Arabidopsis thaliana: one gene and its partners. The protein of the gene in region 1 interacts with the protein of each later gene in a pairwise test. Each region holds a gene or a part of one and is shown in the gene's direction. Other genes may lie near its edges.

The links.
Region 2: the proteins of AT1G10530 (region 1) and ATB' DELTA interact in a two-hybrid assay, tested with the Arabidopsis thaliana proteins (one large-scale study listed by BioGRID).
Region 3: the proteins of AT1G10530 (region 1) and AT3G26340 interact in a two-hybrid assay, tested with the Arabidopsis thaliana proteins (one large-scale study listed by BioGRID).

What each region holds. Positions count from the first base shown.
Region 1 is NC_003070.9:3,470,810-3,474,444, reverse strand, and holds AT1G10530 (D-ribose-binding periplasmic protein), read left to right. Parts: upstream 1-1,770; 5' UTR 1,771-1,918; coding exon 1,919-2,210; exon of another isoform or gene 2,211-2,297; coding exon 2,298-2,398; intron 2,399-2,532; coding exon 2,533-2,640; 3' UTR 2,641-2,989; downstream 2,990-3,635. Other genes in the region: PRIN2 (Serine/Threonine-kinase), read right to left, coding at 3,154-3,342.
Region 2 is NC_003074.8:9,514,852-9,518,606, forward strand, and holds the start of ATB' DELTA (serine/threonine protein phosphatase 2A 55 kDa regulatory subunit B prime delta), read left to right. Parts: upstream 1-2,101; 5' UTR 2,102-2,889; coding exon 2,890-3,755. Other genes in the region: AT3G26020 (Protein phosphatase 2A regulatory B subunit family protein), read left to right, coding at 1-447, 535-738, 871-903, 1,115-1,225, 1,429-1,734. UniProt on the Arabidopsis thaliana protein: The B regulatory subunit may modulate substrate selectivity and catalytic activity, and may also direct the localization of the catalytic enzyme to a particular subcellular compartment.
Region 3 is NC_003074.8:9,651,185-9,654,939, reverse strand, and holds the start of AT3G26340 (N-terminal nucleophile aminohydrolases (Ntn hydrolases) superfamily protein), read left to right. Parts: upstream 1-2,003; 5' UTR 2,004-2,140; intron 2,141-2,357; 5' UTR 2,358-2,367; coding exon 2,368-2,487; intron 2,488-2,592; coding exon 2,593-2,722; intron 2,723-2,928; coding exon 2,929-3,035; intron 3,036-3,546; coding exon 3,547-3,681; intron 3,682-3,755. Other genes in the region: AT3G26350 (proline-rich receptor-like kinase), read left to right, coding at 210-1,280. UniProt on the Arabidopsis thaliana protein: The proteasome is a multicatalytic proteinase complex which is characterized by its ability to cleave peptides with Arg, Phe, Tyr, Leu, and Glu adjacent to the leaving group at neutral or slightly basic pH.

The sequences.
Region 1 (3,635 bases):
TCGATGTGGGACCTGCGACTTCCATTTTAATTAATTATTGGGCTTTTGTTGGATTTGGGCCTAGTTGTGTTCTCTAATTTTTGAAATCCAGTAACAAAAAAAGTAACAAAAAAATTATATATTAATAATTCAATTTTTCAGTGAAATCTTTTCTCATGAAAATTTGCATCAAAGTACACTCAGACTCGAAATTGGGATTCATGTTCATGCATGTGATCACAGTTCAGTAGTAAATAATAATTGGGATTCGAAATTGTTAGATATATTCATTGATGAAATATTAATGGTTAGTTACTGTACTACTTATGTTTTGTTTGTGTTTAACGAAAAGGTACTATTTAAACTTACGATGTTGTTTATCATTATCAAAAAACTGACGATCTATATATTTGGCTCTAACAGAAAACGAAAGGACATGCATAATTTACAATCTTAAAATCTTGATTTCTTACGTGTTGGTTGCCGCATAAACTGTTTCGGTCTCTACTCTCTATAGTATTAACCCAACATTATAGTACTTAAAATAGGCTATGCACAAGTAATAACTAATAAAACACGAAATTTTAATAATGAATAAGATATCAACGAAATAATAAAATTATCCATTTACATCAACCTGAAAAGTGAAACTAGTCGCTGCGAGTAAACCAAATAAACAATTTGAAGTTTCTCTCTATTATTTTGATTTCTAGACCAAAATCCTTTTAAAACAAAGTTTAAATCGTGATTCATGGAATGTAGTAATTAACTAATTATGTAAGTTATGTAATATAACCTCTTTGGAAGATATATAACATTAACCAGCAAAACTAAATTACACTTGGTTAATCTAACTACATCTACTACATAATAATTCGTTGAGCTTCACTTCTGTCACGCCTAAAGACATTCGCATTTAACTCCATGCACGCGCTGATGATAATGATTAAAGTGCTGCTATGAAATATTCCTAATTCCTTGAAAGGGAAGTAAACATTTGATGTCATACAAAGATTTCAATAGAAACTGAATTATGGATGAAGTGGGGGTTATAATATTCATTAATCAAGTCATAGATATGCGAAAATATACAAGAGAAACTGAAAGGAAAGTAAACATTTGATGTAAATATATTCTGTTTTCTTTTTAGGGATGAAGTGGATTATACATCAATTTAGGTAGATGATATATAAAACAAACAATCCTTAGTGGAAATGCATTGGATCTTGCAAAAGAGAAAACAAAAGTCTTCATTACGTTATTTACGTTTAATGTTGAAGTATAACGTTCTGTTTTGCCCGTTGACAAAAATAATCTCTTGTAAACAAAAAACTAAGAATTACAAAATCTTACAAATCATTCTGAACCATAAAAATCATTCAGCTTAATTTCAATTAATTCAAAAAAGATTAGAATATCTAAAGTAACTCAAACTTACCAAATAGTAAAATATAAAACAAAGTAAATCACTGATAGCAATTTCAAAATGTTTGGTATGTGATAGTGCTTGTTTTCCTCATGCTGTATACCAAACCTATTCCATTTTAAACAATCACATCTTAATCATTTCTTCCATAGTCTCGGCGTCGCCACCTGTCCAATCTAACCGACTTTTAAATTCTGACCATCTTATTCCTATTCAATTCCCGATGGCACTGATCACAGTCAAATCTACATAAACAATAATAAAAATCATAAATAACTCTACACTAGTGATAACAAATAAAATCATAATATAAAATTGGGATTTTCGCATGTTTATAAGTAAAGCTAAAGTGAGAGTAGCAGAGTGTGTGGACCTACCCTCGCCGGCAAACTTTTTCCTCTCTTCCGCTTTCTCCTTTTTTCACAGAGTTCTACTCTGTTTTCATTTTTTCTTCTTTCTTTCGTTTCTTAGGTAACATCAAAAGATAGTGTGTTTTTTTCTCCCACTGCATATATGGGGAATTGTCAGGCGGTGAATGCGGCAGTGCTGGTTCTACAACATCCCGGCGGGATTATCGACCGGTACTATAGCTCTGTATCCGTCACCGAGGTCATGGCTATGTATCCTGGTCACTACGTCTCTCTCATCATTCCTTTGTCAGAGGAGGAAGAGAAGAATATTCCAGCGACGGAGAAGGGAGATGATAAGAAGCAGAGGAAGGCTGTGAGGTTTACACGTGTCCAGCTTCTCCGGCCAACGGAGAATCTTGTGCTCGGTCACGCTTACCGGCTCATTACTTCACAAGGTTTCGCCTTTTGCTTTCTTTCTTTTTTTTTCTCCTCGTGTGTGTGATTGGAGTTTATGGTTTTAGATGGTTATTGTAATTTTACAGAAGTGATGAAGGTGTTACGGGAAAAGAAGAGCGCCAAGACGAAAAAACATCAGATTGAGAAGACAACCACGGCGAAGAAGTTCTCGGACAAGAAAGTTCCGGTAAAGACATGGGATTTTGCTAAAAGATCTATCTTTACTCTGTTTTTGAATTGTGACGTAAAAAACTGTGACCTCTTTCGTCTAAATGATCGATAGACGAATCAAGTTAATGAGGTTTGTGTTTTATTTGATAGGAGAAGAAACAAGGGAAGCAATTTCGTGTTATAAGGAATTCAACTTCCCTCTTAAAGTCTAAAACATGGAGGCCGTCTCTTCAGAGCATCTCCGAAGCTACTAGCTGAATGTTTTTGGTTTTTGTTCGAAACAGTATCTGGATCTAGAGTGGAGAGCCTGATCCGAAACTCTACTGAATAATTTTTTGGTTCTGTTTTTTTTTTTCCTGGATATTACAGAGGATAAACGGATGGAGTCTAGATGAAGATGTGAAGAGATAAGTACAGAGAAAGCTCAAGAGAGTCAACAAAACAGAACTTCTTCTTCCTTTTTTTTCCCTCTATCGTCGATGTATATATTTTTGCAGATGGGGAAATCGATGGAAGTTTGTAAGAAGTGTGGTTTTTGTTGATGTGTGAGATTGATTCAGAGGACACAAAGCTTCTGAATAAGAACAATAAAAAGCTTTTGCCATCTTTTCTTTTTCTTGTTTCCAGTCGTTTGGACAAGTTTACACCAAACAGTTTTTGATCAAAGATTAAGTGCTTCACGACATAGTAATCAGAGTTTTACAATGACACATCTGCTACCCCACTACTAAACTAAATAACTCACGGATTATACTTAATGCTCCCAGGGGACTAATCAGTGCCGGTCCATTCCTTCCAGTCCTTGTCTACATGATCCTGAGCCCATTTAATAGCTGCTCGGGCGGCTTGTGGACCTCCAGGCAATTCCCTTTCGTTGAGAGTATCTGCCATGTCAATGAAAGGTATCACCAAGAGTGTACCAGGTCCTCCATACTCACTGCGCAAGAACGTCTCGAAGATCTGTCAATAATCACAATGGTGCAGAACAAAAAACTGTTAAAACTCCCTGAGTCTCATGCCAAGACATATAACAGACTTAGAGAATGGGGTTTAAAGTATCACTCATGAAACAAAAACTTACAGTCGACTCATTGTAAACCATACGTAGATTAATATCCTCACCAAGGCATCATTACTAAGACCACAGCATCTCATTTTCAAACAATACAAACTTTTTTTCACTGAGCTTTCAAGATGGGTTCAAATTGAAAACCACTCCTTCACATTCTAAACCGAATCACATGACCCTCTCC
Region 2 (3,755 bases), on another chromosome or scaffold:
ATGGTCTCTGCTAACATATTTAGAACGCTAAATCCTCAACCACGGGAAAATAAAGTTATCGATGCCTTAGACCTGGAGGAGGAAGAACCTTCCATGGATCTTGCGTGGCCTCACTTGCAGCTTGTGTATGAGCTTTTCTTGAGGTTTGTTGCTTCGCCTGAAACTGACACCAAGCTGGCTAAGAGATATATAGATCAATCTTTTGTCTTGCGGTTACTGGATTTATTTGATTCCGAGGATCCTAGAGAAAGAGATTGTCTGAAAACCATTCTCCATCGGATCTATGGTAAATTTATGGTACACCGACCTTTCATCAGGAAATCCATTAACAACATCTTCTATAGGTTTGTTTTCGAAACAGAGAAACATAATGGGATTGCTGAGTTTCTAGAAATCTTGGGAAGTATCATCAATGGATTCGCTCTTCCCTTGAAAGACGAGCACAAAGTGTTTCTTGTTCGAGTTTTGATACCTCTCCACAAACCAAAATGCTTGCAAATGTATCATCAACAATTGTCTTATTGTATCACACAGTTTGTGGAAAAGGATTGCAAACTTGCTGATACGGTTATAAGAGGATTGTTGAAATATTGGCCCGTGACAAACAGTTCCAAAGAAGTCATGTTTCTGAACGAGTTGGAGGAAGTACTCGAAGCAACTCAGCCACCAGAATTTCAACGGTGCATGGTACCACTGTTTCGCCAAATAGCTCGATGTTTGAACAGTCTGCATTTTCAGGTACCTGTCATTCTCCATTCTTTCTGAAATAATAGCACCTCACATTTGTTTTTAAACTGGCGAATTTCCCCGTGCTTTGACATTTCCTGAAAAATGCTCTGTTGCTGTTAGTGTTGGGTTTGACATTTGCAGGCCATATCGTTTCGACATACTTTAACTGCATTAGTGTTTCACCTGTTTATGTTAGCCTATTAGATTGTTATATAAAAAGATCAAATGAAAGAGTTGGGTTTGTGGTAATGAAAGTATCTACGTATAGGACTGTTGTATTGTGTTCTGGATAATATCTGATGCAGTTTCTTAGCTAAATAAGGCTTATGGTTACATACTTTAATTGTGTTAGTGTTTCGCCAGTATATCTGTGTTACCTTACCAGCTTATGAGAAGTCGTTATAGCCTACCAGTTATATCAAACGAGCAAATGGAAGAGTTGATTTTGCGGTATGGAAAGTATCAATGTTTAGGACTGTTATATTCAGCTCTAGGTGTTACTCAAGGCAATTTCTAAGCTAAATTGATATAGTAAGGCTATTGTTAAGTAGAAAGTTACAAAAGAAGAAAAAGTATTGCGTTGAAGGGTATCTGTTTTGGCTAAACAGTGACTGCATACGATCTTTCACGGGAAAAGATCAGTCTAGTAGGTTCAGGATCTTTGTTTCAGTCTATTCATGCTCTGTCTGGTTTTCGCAGGTTGCAGAGAGAGCTTTATTCTTATGGAACAACAATCACATTGAGAATCTGATAATGCAAAACCGTAAAGTCATTCTTCCAATTATATTCCCAGCGTTGGAGAGAAACGCACAGAAACATTGGAACCAAGCTGTTCATAGCTTGACACTAAACGTGCGAAAGATATTTCATGACCTTGACCCTGAGTTATTTAAAGAATGCCTCGCAAAGTTCAAGGAAGATGAATCAAAAGCAGCTGAAACCGAAGCAAAACGTGAAGCCACTTGGAAACGTTTGGAAGAACTCGGAGTGCGAAAGGCTTCATAAAGTTAGAGTTGTAGAGAAGAAAGAGAGAGAAAGAGAGCTTCTGTATCTTCTATTGACATGTTGTTCTTCAGATACATACTTGAGAAGAGAAAAGTTTCATATTGGTCTCTTGGTTTGAAGGAAAAAGGAAACTCAAAGATGTAAGATTGTTCCTGTTTTGATTTCCATTATTTTTATTTCTTGTTTCCTCTTAAATCTTCCTGCTTGTTAAAATGGGTTATTTTTGCTACATTGTATGATCATCACTTGTTCCACTTTCTTGAGACTTGTCTTATTCATTCATCTTCTGCTTTCATGATACCTGCAAATATTGCACTTATAGGATTTGGCCTTTTGTATTTTCAGTTGTATCAGAAAAAAAATCGTATCTTTATAAGCAAAAAAACACCTTTTAAAAAAAGTTTTTTTAAGTTTTCAACAGAAACTCAAAGAGAGAAGACCAAATTGTTGGTTTGAGTATTTTGGGTTTGTGGATTTGGTTACGAACTCCATAAGTCTAGGAGGAACTCTGAAAAGATCTTCATGGAGAGATCGGTTTAGTGGTTGGATTTGAATCTTTTAATGGTTATGACTTCAACTAAAAAAACACTGTCGAGAGATGTTGTTTCTTGTCTTGGTCAGTGAAAATTTTCTCTGGTCTTAGGGTCTTCTCTCAGTCACCATCCTCTCTTTCTATCTCTCTCTCTCTTTACTCTCTAATCTTTATCCATTCTCTCTCTTCTTCTCTATGCCAACGAAGCAATAGCTATGAAAAGCTAAACCCTTTCCTTCTTCTTCTTCTTCTTCTTCTTCTTCGATTGTTTAGATTACTTGGGTTTGACCCAAGTTTGCTTCTTTCTATGATTCATCAATCTAGATCTTGCTATCTGGGTCCAGAAACGATTCACGCGCTTCATTCATGATATAAAGTTACTACCTTTTTTTTATTTTACCTTCTGGGTCATGGTTTTGTCTGCTTTTCGTCTTTTGCTTTTGTCTGGATGATTCATAATCTCTCGAGATCTATTATGTTCACAAGAGTTGTTCTTATGCGTGGTGAGATGATCTTAGGAGTGTTTCACTATCTTTCTTCAATTCGGGTTTTTAGTTTCTGAGATCTGTTTTTGAAGAATCTGATCTGAGTTTGAGGAAGTTTGACTAAATAGATCGAAGAAGATGTTTAAGCAGATACTTGGGAAGCTTCCTAAGAAAACTTCTGCTAAGTTTTGGGATAATGGTGAATCCCAAACTCTAGATAACAACAACAATCAAGGAGGAGGTGATGAAGTTTTAAGCCAGAGAACGTCATCAAATGGAGATACTAGTTTGGATTGTGTTTCTTCTTTTGATGTATTGCCAAGGTTGAGAGATGTTTCCATCTCTGAGAAGCAAGAACTGTTTCTTAAGAAGCTTAGACTATGTTGTCTAGTGTTTGATTTTGTAGCTGAGCCTCAACAGAACTTCAAGGAGAAAGAGATCAAAAGGCAAACACTTCTTGAAGTTGTGGATTATGTTATCTCTTCAGGGAATGGCAAGTTCCCTGAATCAGTTATTCAAGAAGCTACCAAGATGATTTCGGCGAATCTCTTTAGTAATCCTCATCGACAATGGAAGAACAAAACTCCTGAGGCATTGGATTTGGAAGAAGAAGAAGGATCTTTGAATCCTTCTTGGCCTCACTTGCAGATTGTTTATGAGTTCCTTTTGAGAATCGTTGCATCTCCCAACACAGACCCCAAGATATCCAAGAAATACATCGATCATACATTCGTTCTCAAGCTATTGGATTTGTTTGATTCTGAAGATCCGAGGGAAAGAGAGTATCTGAAAACGATACTTCACCGCATCTACGGGAGGTTTATGGTTCATCGCCCGTTCATCAGGAAAACTATGAACAACATCTTGTATGATTTTATATTCGAGACAGGGAAACACTCGGGAATCGCCGAGTTTCTTGAAGTTTTAGGATCCATCATCAATGGATTCGCTTTACCACTCAAGGAAGAACACAAGCTCTTTCTTACTCGTGTCTTGATTCCTCT
Region 3 (3,755 bases), on another chromosome or scaffold:
AGATTACTTGCTTCGTGCTATCACTTTCCTTCTTTATTTTGTTTTCTACAACAAAGAATCCTTACTTGAACTTGTCACCAAGTTATTCTCTCCCTCTCTCTATCTCATTTAGAAACTTAAAACAGTTCAAAATCTCTCTGTTCTCATTCTTTCATCTCAAGTCTTACTTAACTTAGTTTCCTTTGATGCTTTTTAGCTTCTTCATCTAAATGTCTCATCATCATCACCATGAAACTAACCCTCATTTTGCGCGAATTCCATCGCAGAATCCACATCTCAAAAGCGGTGGTGCTTCTACCTCACAAACATCTTCGAACCAACCACACATCCCGCCCATTCCGCACCCAAAAAAATCGCACCACAAAACCACGCAACCTCACCCAGTAGCTCCACCAGGAATCCTAATCAAGACTCGTGGTCGCCACCGTGAAAATCCAATCCAAGAACCGAAACATTCTGTAATACCTGTACCATTAAGCCCAGAGGAGAGACTTCCACCACGAAAAACTCAAAACTCATCGAAAAGACCATTGCTATTAAGCCCTGAAGATAATCAACAACAACGACCTCCACCACCACAAGCACCACAACGCAACGGAGGGGGTTATGGATCAACATTACCTCCAATACCCAAACCAAGTCCATGGAGAACCGCTCCAACACCATCCCCGCATCACCGCCGTGGCCCACGGTTACCACCACCCTCAAGAGAGACAAACGCAATGACATGGTCAGCTGCATTTTGCTGTGCAATATTCTGGGTCATTCTTATTCTCGGCGGTCTTATCATCCTAATCGTTTACCTCGTCTACCGTCCTCGCTCACCTTACGTCGACATCTCAGCTGCTAACCTAAACGCTGCTTATCTCGACATGGGTTTTCTTCTAAACGGTGATCTAACCATTTTAGCAAACGTCACAAACCCAAGCAAGAAAAGTAGTGTGGAGTTTAGCTATGTGACATTCGAGCTTTACTATTACAACACACTCATAGCAACTCAATACATTGAACCTTTCAAGGTTCCTAAGAAAACGTCAATGTTTGCGAATGTTCATCTTGTGAGCAGTCAGGTCCAGCTTCAGGCAACGCAGAGCCGGGAGCTGCAGCGTCAGATTGAAACAGGTCCGGTTTTGTTGAACCTGAGAGGAATGTTTCATGCACGTTCGCATATAGGACCATTGTTTAGGTACTCTTATAAGTTGCATACTCATTGCAGCGTTTCATTGAATGGTCCTCCTTTAGGAGCTATGCGAGCTAGAAGATGCAATACCAAACGCTAGCGATTTTGCAATTGCGTTTGCTCATTTTTTTTCTTTTACCTTTTTTTGCCACTGTTAGAAATAATTAATCTTCTGTATTTATTGGTATTACAAGTCTACAAGAATCGTTAATTGTTTAATCATTTTTTAATTGCGTCGTTAGTTTTTGTAAACTAGAATGTTCCAAACTTAAGAGGCTGTTTTAAGACTTTTAACTTTATAAATTTCACACGGAAAGAGAAGAATACTATCTAATATTTAAGTTTAAGGAGGTGTTTATTAATTTTGAATGCACATAGGATTTGGAATGCCTTGTTGATTTTAAAACCAAACATTAACATTAAATTTTTTAACTTTTAGATATGAACCAAAAATCTTGATATGGTGCTATATGAGGCAATTTCTCTTGTATGTTTAACCATAAACATTTTAAAATCTGTTAAAGTCCAATGTAAAATCCATAAAAATTTGATTAAAATAACACTTTATTCCAACTAATAAAATAAAATAATAAACGAATAATACCTGATAAATTTGATCCAAATATTTTGACTTGTCTTACTAAATTTATTTGAATAACAAATGATTAATAAAAAGTTATATACCTAATATTCATATAACCAAGGAAATTAAAAAAAAAAAAAAAGAAGAAAAGGCCAATAATGGCCCATGAAGCCCAACATAATGAACACTGTTCTGTCTTTAAACTTAAGCGGTATGACCCGAAATGATTCAACCCGACCCGATCGCCCATATCTTGCCCCGTTCGCATTCGGTTTGCCCAGAGCTCAAGAAACATCCCTCCATAATTTGCTTCTCTTTTCTCCAATTCTCACACATTCTTCTGCTTCGTTAATTTTCTACTCGATTTCGCTCTTCAGGTATGTCTCAGGCCCCTAATTGTCGTTACTTTGACTTTACAATGAAGTATTAGGGTTTATGGTTTATACACACACGTACAAAAGTAATCTCGTGCTAGATCCGATTTGAATTGTGAAAGGAAGCTCTTTTTGTTAATACCCTGATTTGGGTACCTCTCAAGCTTCATGATTTTGCATAATTTTATTGAATAATTGTGGGTATTCGATGATTCTGTAGAAATTTGACAATGAAGCTTGACACTAGTGGATTGGAGACAACTATGCCTGTGATTGGCTTTGGATCAAACAGTGAGATGCTTGATGGGTTTTCGTCTGCACCTTCGTTTGATCTTCCTCGTACCACTGATGTGAGTTTTAGTTACGAAATTAGAGTTCTTTCGGATTCCAATATACTTTGATTTTGCTTTTATTTGATTGTGATATGTTGCTTTTGTTTGTTGTTGGTTTTTTAGTTTGATGGGTTTCAGAAAAAAGCTGTGGAGATGGTGAAGCCTGCAAAGGGTACAACTACACTTGCGTTTATCTTTAAGGAAGGTGTTATGGTAGCTGCTGATTCTCGAGCTAGCATGGGAGGATATATCTGTATGTTTCTCTTTTGTTATGTTTATTTCAGATTTCTGTTTGTGTTTTAGTTGTGAGCTCTCTAAAGGATCCTAAAAATGGAGAATGAGTTAGATTCTTGTTATAGAAATTTCTAATCTTTGTTGTGTTGGCCAGTGATACTGTACAGTAAAAGAAAGGAGAAATTTCTGTGATTGCTGATGTTTTGTTTGTGTTTTTCCATTCAGCGTCGCAATCTGTGAAGAAGATTATTGAAATTAATCCTTATATGCTTGGTACAATGGCTGGTGGTGCTGCTGATTGTCAATTCTGGCACAGAAATCTGGGAATTAAGGTACCCTAACGTTAGTTTTTGTTAGCTTTCTGAATTGATGATTGGGTCTATCAGTTATCTTCCTTGCTGTGGCAATCCGGTTACTTCTTACCTTCCCTTTGTTCATAACTTCATATAGCTAATGTATTGATATCCGAAAGCTGTTGAGTCATTTGTTAGAGACTTAAAAACGTTTTGTATCCGTCTGTTTCCTGGAATAAGAATAGTCTTTATTATCTGTTTGGTGACCTAAGAACGTGTGTCTCTTTCAATTTTAGTAATGTATTTTTCTGCGTGGTGTGGTGGCTTTAGCTTCTCAGTACTGTGAACTAAACATTTATATATCATTATGCATCAATCTTTTTGTTTTGAGTTGTTGTATTCAAGGGCATACAAATGGTTTCGTTGATTTCTTGTATCCAAAATCTAGTCCCAGTTTTATCCTAATAGTTTGATTGCTAACTTGTATACCAAATCTGGATTATGTTGAAACTATGACCCTGATAGAGAGTGTTTTATTTGTGTATCATAGTGCCGTCTACATGAGCTGGCAAACAAAAGGAGAATCTCTGTTTCAGGAGCTTCAAAGCTTCTTGCTAACATGCTCTATTCATATCGTGGAATGGGACTTTCTGTTGGCACAATGATTGCTGGATGGGATGAAACAGTCAGTACCCTAAACTTTATATCCTAACTGTTATTTCCTTCTCGGTCTGTAGTTTCACTCACCAAAGCGAAAGT